2 linked regions of the Drosophila melanogaster genome follow. The protein of the gene in region 1 interacts with the protein of each later gene in a pairwise test. Each region holds a gene or a part of one and is shown on either strand. Other genes may lie near its edges.

Evidence for each region. The genes of interacting proteins can lie anywhere in the genome.
Region 2: the proteins of Dpm3 (region 1) and to interact in a two-hybrid assay, tested with the Drosophila melanogaster proteins (one large-scale study listed by BioGRID).

What each region holds. Positions count from the first base shown.
Region 1 is NT_033777.3:13,401,660-13,406,015, forward strand, and holds Dpm3 (Dolichyl-phosphate mannosyltransferase subunit 3), read right to left. Parts: upstream 1,393-4,356; 5' UTR 1,330-1,392; coding exon 1,180-1,329; intron 1,112-1,179; coding exon 977-1,111; 3' UTR 900-976; downstream 1-899. Other genes in the region: GILT1 (Gamma-interferon-inducible lysosomal thiol reductase 1), read right to left, coding at 20-91; yellow-e3, read right to left, coding at 1,789-2,276, 2,342-2,735, 2,800-3,147; yellow-e2, read right to left, coding at 3,648-4,356.
Region 2 is NT_033777.3:25,238,021-25,243,083, forward strand, and holds to (takeout), read left to right. Parts: upstream 1-2,159; 5' UTR 2,160-2,169; coding exon 2,170-2,230; intron 2,231-2,345; coding exon 2,346-2,586; intron 2,587-2,653; coding exon 2,654-2,793; intron 2,794-2,847; coding exon 2,848-3,155; 3' UTR 3,156-3,648; downstream 3,649-5,063. Other genes in the region: Jhbp7 (juvenile hormone binding protein 7), read left to right, coding at 1-54, 180-425, 481-682; CG11854 (uncharacterized protein), read left to right, coding at 4,038-4,107, 4,184-4,421, 4,488-4,627, 4,690-4,994.

The sequences.
Region 1 (4,356 bases):
TTCCGAGCCGGAAACTCACCTTAGCGGCACTATAAGCCGTGGCAATCAGGCAGCTCATCAAGAGGCACACAGCGGCGATTTTGTGACTCATCTTCAGGCTTCTCGTTCTTCAGAATTTCTTATAAATGCAGTTATATAGCCAGCACGTAACGAACGGCGGTCGTGTTGTTAGCGGTTCGGTGGCTGAGCGCGAACTGTTGATTGTTGTAGAGAGCTTGACGCTTAAACCGCCGTTCCAGTTCCAGTCGGCCATTAGAAAGCCGATTTCCAGACTGCCCAACCATGAGTAAATAAATGTACTATCTTTTTTATCATCAACTATGTATTATCTTCTTGAAATTTATTTCTATTTTCAAACTATTGTCCGCCATTAAAAAAAAAATTACACAAATTAACTTCAAATGGCTATTAATCGGTTTATATTGGATCTTTTGAGTATCACAACATTCAGCTTCGCAATTATAACTCCTTCCAGTATTTTGCAGAAGAGAAAATTAAAGTTTTGAAACAGTATATTTTTTTCTCTTTCGCATTGTAATTAAGAGAATTTTAAAAAAATTGATTTATTGGAAATAGATAGCCAAAGCATGGATTTGCAATATATGGTTCGCACTTACGAGTTTTCCATATACCATGTTCATTAAGTAAAAATATGTTTTCCGTAAAGAATATTATTAATCTCTTTAAACGTATTTTACCTCATATACTTTTTTAGTTTTCTTATATTTTTTATTTTGAGTAATTCACAGGGGAGCTAAGCCAATTAAACATAAACATATTCCATACTTTTTCAAGCATATCCTTTCAAAACCTCAACATAATTTGGCCACCAAACTTCCGACACCTGGGGAAATCAGCCCCCAACAACGCGTCCGCCCACACAAAATGCGGTCTAGAGTAAATTTGCGTAATTTTTGTTTTTATAAATAATGGAATTACAGATTAACATGCACAAGTCCTACGAGCTGGAAGTCTCCTAATCTCGAAACCGAAATCCCTTGGCTATCAAATCCTTGCGAGCCTCCTGAATTTCATCCTGCAGCTCCTTGGCGGCCTCGGGACAATCGTTAAAAGTCAGAGTTCTATATAGAACAGTCCAAACGGAATATATCTGTGGGTAATATATAGTAGTAGTCAATAAGAGGTGTTATCTGCATTGATTCATATCCAAAAACTCACTCCAAAAATCACGAGGAGCAAAAGTGGTAAAAGCTGAATGTGCAGGAAATACTTGGTAGTTAGTGGCGTTTGCACTGTTCCCAAAACAACGGAGAGATAGGGAATCGCAAAGAGCGATGCGTAAAATAGCCAGCGTTGTAGATTTGTCATAGCTAACGAAATTTATTGGTAAACAAAACTAAACCGAAAATAAAGTTCTACACGTAAACATAGAGCTGGAACTTAAGCCGATGGTCACCCGGTAATTCGATATCGATATTTACCGGCTACTATCGATAGGAGGTTTACCTATTCAAATCTAGTTAGAGGTTTTCCTATTCATGTCTAGTTGGAGATTTTCTAATTAGTAATTCGTAGCCTGACGGCTTCCAGTTAGACATTGTTTACTTTTCTAATTGGCTAACTTAAGTGTGACCAAGCCCTAAGCACGTGCCATAGCACAAAGCTATCCACAGTCAGCAAATCAAATGCCATACTACTCAGCTAAACACAGTCAGCAATTTATCGATAGATCAAAGTTGCGCCATAACAGCCAGCCTTCTACAGCCAGCAATTTAAATCAGAGTAATCGATTGACGCAGTTTCAAACTTGTTAAAACTAAGTTTTAATTAAACGTTGGTGGGCGTGGTTTCTGCGGCGCCCACTGTACACGGCGTGTTGGCAAGCAGGTCAGCGGTTCGGCAGCCAATTATTTGGAACTTGACCTCGTTCGCGGGCAAGTCGCCGCCAACAAAGAGTTTCGGCTGGCTGCTCAAGGCCCACAGCTCCTCCTCTCCCTTGGAATTCCTGTTGATCTTGAGGCCCGTGACGAACTTGATCTTGTGCGGATTGTAGGCCACCACACGCAGGTCATCCGCCGTGTAGTTGGACACGGACTCCTCCCATTTCACCAGCGCCCCTAAACTGATGAGGCTGCAGTAGAGATTCCCCGACTGATCCATCACCTCCGATTCGCACTGGATTCCTCGGGTGCCCAGGCTGTGGAAGCTATCCCTGCTGGCATTCGCAGACTTCCAGAAGGTCTCGTTGTTGATCAGGGAGAGCGGAACCCTCATCTCATTAAAGGAGTTCAGCGTGTGAAAGTACAGAAAGCGGTCTGTAAATTTGCATTGGAAATTATAAATAATTTTTGAGTATTTAGAATTTAAATTGAATAGCTACCTTCCACTTCGCTGGGACTGAGGCTCACTGTAAATATTCCCGCCTGCGAGTTGCTGGAGCGTCCTAATCTCAGCAAGGGCGACGGCTTCATGGACTCATGCTCTATGCGCCAGGATCGTCCCGTCAGGGAGTCAAACACGATTAGACCATAACCCCAGGCATCGGCTATATACGCTCTGCCGCCAACACATCGGTTGGGTGTGCCCCTCTCGGCCAGATCCACCACCAAAGCCGTGAAGATGGATACGCTGGGAATGTAGGAATCGGGCGGAAGTGCGTGTCGTTGGACTAGTTCGTCCTTCACCAAATCAAATGTGAGAATTTGTGGCGGGCACAACTGCAGGGAGTTTACCTGCCCTGAATCCACCACCCAGAGTCGCCAGCACTCGTCGATCTGGGAGAAAACGATAAATATTCATGAAATATCTTCTGTTGGGAAAATATGCTTTATTACTTACATAAGTCCTAATGGCTGAGGTGATGCCGGAGCAATTGTTGGGTGGCACGTGCCACTCCTCGTTGGGATACGGTTCCAGTCTGGGATTCTCCACCAGCTCATTGTGCTCCGCAATGACGGTGGCCAGTGTGAAGGGTGTGGCCATCCCCAGTCGCGGAATCGTGAGAAAGGTGCGATGCCTGCCCTCATCGCCGTACTCAATGTCCACATCCACCGGCAGAAAGCGATTGCCCTTGGACAGATCGTCGCCCAAACTGAGGTTCGTCCACTGATGCAGGGTGTGCAGCTCCTTGAGGACCAATGCCTGGCCCTGGACTGCACAAAATAATGCGAGCAGGACGACCAACATGGCTATCAAATGAGAACCTGCTAAGTGACAGTTCCGCGCGGTTCAAACGATTGCCGAAGACTAAAGATGTGCAGGTAGGCCCTAAAGTTCTTAGCCTTCAATCTCAAAGTGCACTCAGAGAAACTTAAGCTATGTGGTAATAGAACAAATGTTGCAATACATTTAAGTCCTATCATTGCTAAATCCAAAGATAAGAATCTTTATTTAATGATTTATTACTTATAATTTTATAAATGCGAATGAATGTAAAAATTTAACACGACCTCAGCACTTATTAAGTGAAAAGAATAAGAAAGCTGATAAAGAGTGTTTGGCATTTTGGTATTTATTTTTGCGAGTGTAACATGGACCATCAAACCCAAAGACAAAGGTCGTGTACCTGTGGCGGTCAAGCAAACACTTTCGAATCGTCCCAAGATTTATAGATGGACATCTTTTATGTCGGCTTTAAAAGTATTTACACAGATCTCGAGGGTGTCTGGGCATTAGGAATTGGGCACCTAAAAGCAGCCCCGCCCCTGCAACAGGTCATCAACATCGCACCGCATCACCCGATAATTGATTTCCCTGTAGTCAATGGTTCCGGCGAATATCTTCTGCAGTCGATCGGAGAGCAGCCACAGTTCCTCCCGTCCATCAGCAGGTCTGCGGACAATCTTCATGCCACTCACAAATTGCAGCGTAGCCGGATTAATAGCAAGTAGCTTGACATTTTCGCGATTGTAGGGCCTTCGTATGTCCCAGCCGAAAATTCCGATTGGCTCCAGGAAGCCACAGAACAGGAATCCTTGTCTGCTTATCGCATGCGAGGCACACTGAATCCCTCTCTTACCCAAGACAGTGAATTCCGACAGGGAGGAGCTCAGACCCTTTTGCCAATTCGTGGCATTATTTAGGATATCCAAAGGAATGGCCAGCTCCAGTTCGTTGGACAGCGCGTGGAAAATCAGATGGCGGCGCAATCCCAGTCCCAAAGGAGTCGTCGCCAAAGCCAAAGGTCCATCGAGCAGCTCAAAACTCTCACCAGCCACTGTGTGCGTTCCGAACTTAGCATCCGGATAGGTGAATTTGTTCTCGATGCGCCAGGAGCTCTGACCCACGACATCGTACACCACTATGGCCTTACTTGTGGGATCCGCCAGATAGGCAAATACATCCTTGCACTGCCCACTTGGCGGTGGGTCCCTGATGTCTGCAAATATATTCACA
Region 2 (5,063 bases), about 12 Mb from region 1:
CTTCAGGGACGTGAATGTGGAGGGCCTGTCCAGTGTGAAGTTCGACAGAGCCGTGTAAGTAGCAAGTGAAATGAAAAGTGATTTCCTTCTTAAGCAAAAGTGAAGAAGTTCTCATGTTTATTAACAGAAGAAGATATATTAAGTTGATTGCACTTATCCATCATAATCGTATTTTTCAGTGGCTTTGGCGCTGATCCTGCAACCAGCAAGTTTGAGATGTACGGATCCTTTCCCAAGATCGTGCTGAAGGGCAAGTACGTGGCGGATGGACGCATCCTGATCCTGCCGATTCGTGGCGATGGCGATGCCGAGATCGTGTTGCACAATCCCAAGTTTTCGGTGAAATTCAAGCCGGGCACACAGCAGCGCAATGGACGCACCTACCTGAGCGTGGATAAGCTCAAGGTTCTGGTGGAGCCACAAAAGTAGGTGCAGTTCGGATTTTAGCTGAGATATACTAACATATTTGTGTTCCCACAGGATGAACATTCGGCTGGAGAACCTCTTTAATGGCGACCAGGCATTGGGCACCAATCTGAATCAGTTCCTCAACGACAACTGGACGGAGGTGTGGAACGAGCTGCATCCCTCCATTCATGTGGCCATCGCCGAGATCATGAAGAGCGTTCTCTCGCAGCTCTTCAAGCGCTTCGCCTACGAGGATTTATTCCTCGAGAACTGAGCACTAGTCGTCCTAGTCGCCATCAGGCGCCCTAGGACTTTAGGCTAAGTGTACGAGTATTTCCTCACCTATCCAAGCTATTCTCACTCACATGGGGCGTTGCATTCCGGCATTCCGGCCATTGACACATCATCATCGTATCATCGTATCTGCTAAGCTAAGCTTTAACTTGTAGAATAAACAAAAACATTCGAAAAAAAACTGGTTCTGCTTCTGCGGGGGGCCATTGTTAGCTAAAACGTGGATCTCACTATTTCCGCACAAGTGTCGCATACACTTTTTGTTTCATTTTTGGCCAGCAATCAGCAATCAACAGGCAGCTCACGTGATGGAACGATTGATTCGAAATTTGCATGACAAAGGCATTATTGCTAAGGTGACTATACTTGTGGATAAAAGCGTAGTTATACATACGCTTAAAGTATTAAAACATCCAACAAATTGAAATAAACACCTTAATTATTATGAGCAAATACTTTGTGTCTTAAAAAAGACGAAGATGCATGCTCCTACTACTACTCCTACATCCTGTGCAACTAATTTAGCCCAAAGTGCACTAAAATTAGTATATGATATGATGATATGATATATGACTAAGATCTGCTTGTCTTAGAATCAAGAACTAACTAAATGGCAGTGCTATTAATCTGAACACAACTGTGCTGTCACTCATTGCGAACTCATTTCACTGTCCAAGTTCAAGAGTAGCCAACGGTATAGCTGCCATCCCGATCCCAGGGAATCGGACACCCAGTTGGCCTTGGGTCAGTGAAAATCTTCCACGAGCGAGCAATCAACTGCAGCGATTCCGAGCGAAACAAGTTGCTTTTGTTCTCCACGGGGGCTGGACTTTAAAGCGGGACACTTGGTCATTAAGTTAACCCAAAGTCTAGGACCTGTTCCGAGCTACTACTCCACCGCTACTCCTCCACTGCCCTTCACTTCGATTCGCAAGAACTAAAGCCAACTAAAGAACTGGTGGTCACGATGACTGCGTTGTTTTCGCATCTCAATTCGGCTATATTTGGAACTGGCCCTTTTGTGAGTTGCACACTTGCCAGTTAACTTTGTTAAGGGAGAACTTAATACCATGACTTTTAATTGGACATAATCTGTCTGATACTTAAATTCATTGAGCGGATTTTCGATGTAACTGATTGATGAAGATTAAGGTGAATAAGAAGATTTGCTACATGATCTACTTGCTGTCTAAAGTGCACCCAAATGAGGTGATAAACTAAGGCTTGTATTGAAATTAGAACAACGTTTTCTTACCTAATACCATCAGATGATTCAGTTGCTATTCGTTATTAGTTGATGATTCTGAAACGAGCTCTGGAATTGACAGACAGACGGTTACGGCACAGATAAGAGCTATATCAAAGGTTGCCATTAGACGTTATTTGAGTTGCACTTAGTGGACCACTATAAATACTAGGCGAAAATCCCGTTCGTATTCAGTAACTTAAAGTTATAGACGTGTTAGCATGTTCGCAATCGCATTCGCAGTGGTTTTGTGCCTTTTGGTCTCGGTGGATGCCAAATTCCGTAAGAGAAAGTCCTTTAAAACAAGACCTTGCCAATGAAGTAATAATCTGGGAAACCTAGATAGACACCTACCTCTACTTTTCGGTTCCAAAATAATCCTTTGTGTTCCTCACAGCCGAAGATCCAAAACCTTGTAAGTATGGTGATGGCGAATGTATCATGAAGCTGTGCAACACCCTGTTCAGCGAAAACTCGGCGGAGGGGGATCCTGGTCTGAACCTGATGCAGCTGGATCCGTTGAAGGTGGATCGGATGGTTATTAGCCAGGGTGAGAGCTCCAGTCCCGTGGGCATAACTCTAACCTTCACCGACAATCTGTTGTATGGGATCAAGGACCAAAGGATCGTCAAAGTAAAGTGGGTGCAGGAACAACACTTTGTTTGGATGAGAAGGATGTGATTCAACTTGCCTTGATCTTTGCAGGGGTTTCGGAAGGGATCTCACCGCCAAGCACGAAGTGAAAATTGTCACGAAAACCTTCTCACTCGTTGGACCCTATAACATCCAGGGCAAGGTACTCATTCTACCGATCAGCGGAACTGGACAGAGTAACATGACAATGGGTAAGCTATGCCAATTGATTTTTCAGATTTCGAGGAACTAAAAATCCTGTCCAGTTAACGTCAGGGCAATCGTCAGCTTCTCGGGCAAACCGCTGGTGAAGAATGGGGAGACCTACCTGGACGTTACCGATCTGAAAATAACGATGAAGCCGGAGTCCAGCCACTACCATTTCAGTAATCTGTTCAATGGGGACAAGGCGCTGGGTGACAACATGAATGTCTTCCTCAACGAAAACTCGGAGGCCATTTACAAGGAGACGGCCAAAGCAATCGACCGATCCTTTGGCAAACTTTACCTGGGCGTCGTCAAAGGTGTGTTCTCCAAACTGCCGTATGCCAAGTTTTTTGCGGATGAATCGTGAGTTAGCTCTTCAAAGTGGGCAGAGTCCACATAAAGATACTAGATCATGTTGTTTGCGTACTGACAGATCTAAGTTTTGAGGCTAGCAATCATCATTAGGTTTAATGGAGTTCGTGTTTCGCGTTTGAAAGTGAGAACACAAGTAACTACTATTAAGCCATCTCAGCTAAATAATCTGTAAGTGTTGTGTGGCAATAAAAGTTACATATATGTAGTTAGCACATTGTAAATTATTTATAAGTGATACAAAGAATTCTGTAAAATACCATAAAAACATTTAAAACTATGACCCATTATTAATTAAGTTACAGTGAGTGGAACCCTATAGATCAGGTTGATCCAAAAGATGAAGGACCGCCTGAAAGTATGTGTTATTCGCGCGCGGAGATTCCGAAAGGCAGGGAATATCTGTAACTGGAAAAGGCAGTTACATTAAAAAAAAGCTTGATAAACAATCTTTGTTGACTTAGCCATTAATTAGACGTTGAAACGGGAATTAATGTGCGTTTTGGGGAAGGCCGATCCAATTTGCATATATCGAGCAAATTGCACCCAAAACGCGATTAGGAGCGATTGAATGGGACGGGGTCGATGTCTGGCTTGGGAGTTGGGAACTTGGGAGTTCATTAAAGGGAATCGTAAAATGAATTCGCCGGCTATAACCAGCCACTTTGCCATACAGCCAGCCTGCCGGTTTCGGTTTATAATCCATTTAACTGACTCAACTGCCAAACGGTCTAAAGTCAAATTCTGTGCGGCTGAAACGCAAAAGCGGTTTACGGCAACAAAAACATGATACATTTCAATTGACGAAAGTGACTATATAAGTGTTAACGCCCGCGGCTAATGGATCAGTACTCGATTACGTTCGCCGCCAGCAATTATGGAGCTAACTCTCGCCCTCGTCCTGCTGTTCGGATGTGCGTCCACCTACGGACACGCCTCCGATTTCCGTGAGTTGCACACACCCCCTTTCCGTAATATATAATGTTTATGTATATTTCACAATCGCCACGCCCCAATTTACAGCCTCGGGCATCGAGAGGTGCGCCATAATGGACGAGCAGTGCCTGGAGGACAGGGTGAACTTCGTGCTCAGGAACTACGCCAAAAGCGGTATCAAGGAGCTGGGCTTGATCCCCCTCGATCCGCTGCACGTCAAGAAGTTCAAAATCGGACGCAATCCGCACAGTCCGGTCAACATCGATCTCAGCTTCCACGAGATGGACATCTTGGGTCTGCATCAGGGAGTTGCGAAGCGAGTGAGGTGAGTGGATCCTCATTTCATTTTATGATCGCTCTGCTTACTACATTTTTCTGTTTCGGATTTTAGCGGATTCACAAGGGATCTCAGCCGCTCCATCGAGCTGGTCATGGAAGTTCCAGAAATAGGAGTCAGAGGACCCTACTCGGTGGACGGAAGAATACTCATTCTGCCCATCACCGGAAATGGCATTGCTGACATACGCCTCAGTAAGATTTGCCTCCCACAGCTTTGAAATCTAAAATTTTTAATGTGTTTCTGGAATTCGCAGCTAGAACAAAGGTACGTGCACAGATCAAATTGAAGCGCGTCTCCAAGGGCGATCATCAAACCTACGCCGAGGTGATGAACATAAAGGTTGAGCTGGATCCATCCCATGTGACCTACCAGCTGGAAAATCTGTTCAACGGCCAGAAAGATCTCAGCGAGAACATGCACGCGCTTATCAATGAGAACTGGAAGGACATCTTCAATGAACTGAAACCGGGCATTGGCGAGGCCTTCGGACTGATAGCCAAGTCGGTGGTGGACAGGATCTTTGGCAAACTGCCGCTCGAACAGCTCTTTGTAGTCTAAGACCTTAGTACAAACACCCTAATTAGTCCAAACACAAATCGTAAATATTTATTTGACTTTCAAAATACA